Linked DNA regions of Bombyx mori. The protein of the gene in region 2 purifies or fractionates together with the protein of the main gene of each other region. This does not show direct contact. Links are inferred from orthologs where the notes say so. Each region holds a gene or a part of one and is shown on either strand. Other genes may lie near its edges.

The links. The genes of interacting proteins can lie anywhere in the genome.
Region 1: the proteins of serine/threonine-protein kinase fused (region 2) and cAMP-dependent protein kinase C1 purify together in Drosophila melanogaster (affinity purification with western blotting; 3 studies listed by BioGRID, with this or other methods). This does not show direct contact. The link is inferred for Bombyx mori from reciprocal best matches to the Drosophila melanogaster genes fu and Pka-C1.

The regions. Positions count from the first base shown.
Region 1 is NC_085129.1:12,556,043-12,558,895, reverse strand, and holds cAMP-dependent protein kinase C1, read left to right. Parts: upstream 1-1,291; coding exon 1,292-2,353; downstream 2,354-2,853. UniProt on the Drosophila melanogaster protein: Serine/threonine-protein kinase involved in memory formation. Promotes long-term memory by phosphorylating meng and by regulating CrebB protein stability and activity.
Region 2 is NC_085116.1:10,508,243-10,512,186, reverse strand, and holds the start of serine/threonine-protein kinase fused, read left to right. Parts: upstream 1-1,144; 5' UTR 1,145-1,331; coding exon 1,332-1,442; intron 1,443-1,808; coding exon 1,809-2,068; intron 2,069-2,552; coding exon 2,553-2,721; intron 2,722-3,655; coding exon 3,656-3,811; intron 3,812-3,934; coding exon 3,935-3,944. UniProt on the Drosophila melanogaster protein: Probable serine/threonine-protein kinase; maternally required for correct patterning in the posterior part of each embryonic metamere. May be involved in control of cell division during metamorphosis and ovarian development. May interact with costal-2.

The DNA of each region.
Region 1 (2,853 bases), on a different chromosome or scaffold from region 2:
TTATTATTTTGGCATTGATGTTCTAGCGTATATGAGGTCTGATAATAAATTAGCGACATGTAGGCCAAGAGCTTGTTTGTATGTCTACGCCAAATAAACAAAGATTTGTAAGTCCATCAAAAATCGTCTATTGAAAGTATAAATATGACAAAATCGTACTTTGTTTGATTTGACTTGATTTGACTTACCTACTATAGATAGATAAGCGAGGGATGTGATAGTTTTTATTGTCAACAGAAAGATAACCATCCTCCAGTAGAATTATTTTTATCTTATACCTTTAAATTCTTGTATATAAATATATATATAATCTGAATCTTGGAAACGGCTCCAACGATTTTCATAAAATTTAGTATACAGGGGATTTCGGGGGCGATAAATCGATCTAGCTACGATTTATTTTCAGAAAATGTTGTTTATTCGTGTTTTCAATAATCAACTCTTCCCGACATCTATTGGCGAATAATAATACTATTTTTCTTAATTGAGGGCAACTAACCGCTTTAAAGACACAACAAGATGGAGTTATCAAAAAAAAAAAACGAGCAAAGCTCGGTTATCATCTAGTTACCTTTAGAAACGTCGATGCAATTAGTGAGAATAGCAAAAAACACATTTATTATCTATGTGAAAATGCATTTAAAAAAACACTTTCCTAAAAAAGTAATACTAGCAATGCAGCGAAGTACAAAATTATTTTCAAGTATATTTTTATGTACATAAAATTCTAATCTCTGCGTCAACGATATTTTTAGAGGGAAATGTAGGTATGTGATTATTATTAAAAGTTTGGGTACATTGATACATCTTTTTCATTATTATTTTTTAACAATTATTTATAAGTATATTTAATGTTTACTGTGAATGTTTAAATTTATTTTAAATTAGTTTTCGTAAATGGTAAATTTTAAAAAGTTAGTAGCAGAGTAAGAACTGCTTTGGCAACATTAGTGAATTGACCGCTTCCCGTGAGCACATCGTTCGCTTGATCTCGCTCTGTCGATCGAGTCCGGCTGTGGAAGCCATTTTATTTCTGGTGATTGTGACAAAATTGAAAGTACTTTGATAGAACTTTTGCATTTGAAATAAACGTGTCAATGTGTTTTTATATTGGAAGTGTTTTGTGACGTGTAATTGTGATTAGTAAAAATAAGAATGTACGTGCTTAAAATTGGTTTGTGCTGACCTGCCCATATTCTTATACGATCATACCACAAGCATCGATTAGTGCAGTAAAGCGGCCTCTAATAACGGCGAATCGAGGGCATTGGACTGCTTTGTGGTGTGAGCCATGGGCAACAATGCTGCCACCGCTAATAAAAAGGTGGACGCCGCCGAAAGCGTCAAAGAATTCCTCGACCAGGCCAAAGAGGACTTCGAGGAGAAATGGAAGAAGAATCCTACCAACACCGCCGGACTGAACGATTTCGAACGGATAAAAACCCTAGGTACTGGCTCGTTTGGACGAGTCATGATAGTTCAACATAAACCTACTAAAGAATATTACGCTATGAAAATATTAGATAAACAGAAAGTGGTTAAATTGAAACAGGTGGAGCACACTCTAAACGAGAAACGTATCTTACAAGCCATCAACTTTCCGTTTTTGGTGAGCCTTAAATTCCATTTCAAGGACAACTCTAACTTGTACATGGTGTTGGAGTATGTGCCTGGAGGGGAAATGTTCTCGCATTTGCGCAAGGTGGGTCGGTTCTCGGAGCCGCATTCGCGATTCTACGCAGCTCAAATAGTCTTAGCATTTGAGTACCTTCACTATTTGGACCTTATTTATCGGGATCTGAAACCTGAAAACTTGCTAATTGATTCTCAGGGTTACTTAAAAGTTACAGATTTCGGATTCGCTAAACGTGTGAAAGGCCGCACGTGGACTTTGTGCGGCACTCCTGAGTATCTTGCACCTGAAATCATTCTATCCAAGGGATACAACAAAGCTGTGGATTGGTGGGCGTTAGGAGTGCTCGTGTATGAGATGGCGGCTGGCTACCCGCCCTTTTTCGCTGATCAACCCATTCAGATCTATGAAAAAATTGTGTCTGGCAAAGTACGATTTCCATCACATTTTGGTTCAGATCTGAAGGATCTGCTTCGTAACCTACTTCAAGTAGATTTGACCAAACGCTATGGTAACTTGAAGGCTGGTGTCAATGATATAAAAGGTCATAAATGGTTTGCCACCACCGACTGGATTGCCGTCTTCCAGAAGAAGATAGAGGCTCCATTCATACCTCGCTGCAAAGGACCCGGTGACACAAGCAATTTTGATGATTATGAAGAAGAAGCTCTTCGTATTTCTTCCACTGAAAAGTGTGCAAAGGAATTTGCAGAGTTCTGAGCACATAGCTGGTGCCTGCGAGCGGACACTCCCGTGAGTAGGTGTTTTGTTACAGTGAATCTTCCGTGAAAGAGAGTTCGTGGAATAAGAGCTGATTTATCTAGAAACAAGTGGCATTGGGAGTTTATAGACGCTGAAGCGAACCCGAGTTAGCACACTGTGCAGATAAAGTGGAGTGTAGGTGCAATGATAGTAGAAGTGATTTCCGATATTTCGGTGGCGTTCATTTGCTTAGTGCCCTTTCAAGTTGACTAACATAGAGTTGGTAGTGAGAGTTAAAGTTATCCTTGCTGTGGTGATGTCCCTGCATGATTACTCTGACACCTAGTCTGAGCATTACACCAAGCACTACCTAGTTCATTATTTCAGTAGTTATTGTCATTTTGTGGTGTGGTGCTGGAGGTGAGCAGCATTACATTGTTTTTTATGTTTTTATAAAATCAACATTTAAACTTTGTAAGTAGTGTATTAATTGAAAAATATATGTATATATTTATATT
Region 2 (3,944 bases):
TGAGAATATCCGGGGAAAACTCAGGCGATTATGTCTGTGGATTAAGTTGCATGTCGAACACTTCGCCGCCCACTGAGTTTCTTGTTGGATATTCTTAGTGGGTCCGATTCAGTGGTAGATTCTGCGAAGCACTGCCCTTGCTAGGGCTGATTTTAGCAAATTCTCTCAGGTTGAGCCTGTGTGCTCATCTAACCGTAGTTGTAATAATTCCCGGCGAATAGGTAGGAGAAAAAAATATGATAAGAAGGCTACCTAATAGGTCGGGTTGCTTTTTCAAAGAAACCGCGTCTATGATCGCTTTTGGTCTAGAGACCTCGCCACTTTCCTAAGCCGGCTATTGTAAATTATTTTGTGGTCGTTTTTTGTAACAACAAACAAGGAATTTCAATTTTCCACGCTCGAATCGATTCTTTGGTTTTAGATTGAAAATAATAGTTTAAAATTACTAAAAAAAATAAGCTTTTATAAAAATTAAACTAAAAATAGAAAATAAATTTTAATAAATTTGAATTAAAAATAGTGTAAGAAAAAAATGATCTTATTGTAAAAAAAGTGTGGGTGGTTTTCAGGATATGTATTATCAAAATATTTATAACTGTTATAACCATGCACCCCACGGTTTCTTTTTACAATAAATTCATTTATTCTAAATTGTATATCTGTTATGGTGTATATATGGTGCTAATATAGATCCATTAATTTTGAAACTTCCTGTTTTTATTTATTGTTTTGCATTTCTCTGCTCCAGTCTTTTAACGTACATGATATTATGTATTGTCTATTTAGTGTTTCTTCAGGTTTAAATGTGTAATAACGTTGGTTTATTAACTGTTTATTATCTGTGAAAGTGCACAAATATGGGAAAATGAAACAAAGTCGCTGGACGTAACTTCTCGGGATCCTTCAAAAAGTCCACTGAAAAAATCAGTAAATGACCACCATTTTACTGAGATTATATTTCATCGCATATAATCTCATCATATTTCATTTAATTTTATCCCAGTTGATTAATGTCTCAAATTAATCATCTTCATTTCATTTCATGTCATGTTTCACTTCATTTTATTTCATAATGTCATATTTCATAAAATAAAATAAATTTATAAAAGATTAGGCTGTATGGTATGATACTTTTGCCTTTCTATTTGGAAAAATAAAATTACTACATTACGAAGAGAACAAAATATTTTATGTTTATTTACAATACATATGTACGACGACTGGAGCAGAGAAATGCAAATCAATAAATAAAAACAGGAAGTTTCAAAATTAATGGATCTATATTAGCACCATATATACACCATAATAGATATACAACTTTACATTTTAAAATGAATAGCTACGTTATAAATTCATTCGTCGGCGAAGGCTCATTTGGACGTGTTTTTAAAGCAAAACACAAAGATACCGATGCTGTAGTAGCCTTGAAAGTGATAAGGAAGGTATTTATTAAGTTTTTATGACTTTAAATACTTGGTGCCTTCATGATTTCCTAATTTTTTTCTATAAATGTATACCATCAATACAAATAAATTACAAAAAAAACTTGCGAGTGCTTATTAAATCTTCATTTCCACTATTTCCAAAATAATATATTTAATAAGATCATTAATAAAGTGTGATAAAATAATAATTGTACACACAGAGAATGTTATTAACCAGGTTTTCTTACTAGTAAAATTTTAAATGGTCTTATTCAGTTATCATGATCCCAATGTCTTCGCTGTCATAGATATCACGGTCAAACCTCTCGTCATCCACATTAGTTAATAAACAAATATTCTTACACAATAATTCAACATTTTCAGAAAGGTCGCTCGTCTAAAGACTTAAAATGTTTGAAGCAAGAATGCGACATACAGAGGCAATTGAATCATCCAAACATAATTCGGATGATAGACAGTTTCGACACTGATACAGAATTGGTAGTTGTCACAGAATATGCTGAGAAAGAACTACATGGAATATTGGCTAAGGAGGGTTGTCTTAATGAAGAACAAGTGAAGAAGATTACTTGGGACCTTGTGTCTGCACTGTACTACTTACATTCTCATAGAGTTTTACATAGGTAACTTGTTTGTTTCATATTTTATATCAAATAATAATACTAAACACACATTATTAATATTATATCATTATTGATGTAAATAATAATTATATCTAAACATTTTTTGGACCTTGGCAGGGGGCATAGCTAGGTGAAATCAGTATAATTTATTCATTTTTTCTCTATAGCCTGGCTTATAATAGAGACATTCATCTTATATCTCAATGTGGACAGTTATATTGATTGGTTCTGGATACTGAATCTATTAAGATTTATTTAAATAAAAAGATTAATTTGTAAAAAAATTGAGAGTAGGATAGAAAGTTATTATTGTTCTTATAGTTAATATTTAATTTGATCTGAGCTTTTAACGTTGAAATTGGATATTGAAGTAATTCTCATTGCATAAAATTGAGAAAGAAAATAATCATAGAAATATCTATGATTCATTTATTATGATTTTATATTATTCCTGAACATTTATCATACAAAATAACAATTTTAGAGACCTCAAGCCACAAAATGTGCTATTGGATAGTACAGGACGTGCCAAACTCTGTGACTTTGGTCTTGCAAGAATAATGACAAATGCAACACACATTTTAACATCCATCAAAGGCACACCATTGTACATGGCCCCCGAGTTAATTGATGAGAAGCCATATGATCATCAGGTAATTATATTAAAATAGCATTATATAAACAAAGAGTTATACTGTAATTTTCTGTGGAGATGACATGTTTTTACCTATGTCTTCCGTCTGACCTAACTATTCTTAGTAAAACTATAATTAAAAAAAAAAAACTGGTCAATCTGTTGCTTTGTTTTGATGTGAAAGGGCATACAAATACACAATCTAATAACAAACACACTTTCACATTTATAATATTTGTATAGTGTGGAAGTATGGATACTTAGTATGCATGCTGTTCCATCAATGCAGCTATGCTATTATATTATATAGTAATACTTTCAATTTTCAAAATTACATTAATTATTCTTAGTAAAACATTATTTATAACAATAATTGACATATTTTAGAGTACTTTTATTTTAATTTGTCCTTAGCCTAATTAATATAAATCAATAATTTCAGAGATTTTCCTGTACGTAATTAAAAAAAAAAAAACATGAATTTATGCTAATGATAGTTTATTCAACAATATTTTTATGTATGCATATATGGTAGGGTTTATATATTAATTAATCACTTTGCTATAAACAAAAGTGATTATATCGTTAAAACTTCATTTTATACAGATATTTCTGTCACTTTTTATGCACAAATATGCATCAAAACCTCATGGAATATTGTTATTAATCCTAAAGAGTTGCAAACATTTTTGTACATTACAGGGCTCCTTGTGGAAAATTTCAGCACCTATAACAACAGGAGTTAAAAAAATTTGCTATCACAATACTGACTAAATATCAATATAATAATTATCCAAATTGTTTTTTTTTAAGTATAATAATATGGGTGAATAAGCCACTTTGTGCTATGTGGTTACCTGAGCCCATAGATATCTCAATGTGTTTGAGCACACCTATTTTGAGACATTATATTGAGATCTCAATTGTATTTTTATTTTGTGTATTTTTTTCAGGCAGACTTATGGTCACTTGGCTGTATTGTATATGAGCTAATTGCTGGGCAACCACCTTTCTGTACAATGTCTATATGGCAACTTGTCCGCATGATTAGACACAAACCTGTACAGTGGCCTAGTTTCATCAGCACTAATGCTCGGACCTTCCTACAGGTTTGTTTGCTTTTGAGCTCTCACTTCAAGCTTTTAAAACTGCACAAATAATTTAACATTTTACGTTTAATTAAGTTATACTATTTGTACCATTAGTTTAATAGTATTAAAATATTTATTTAGGGCTTATTGC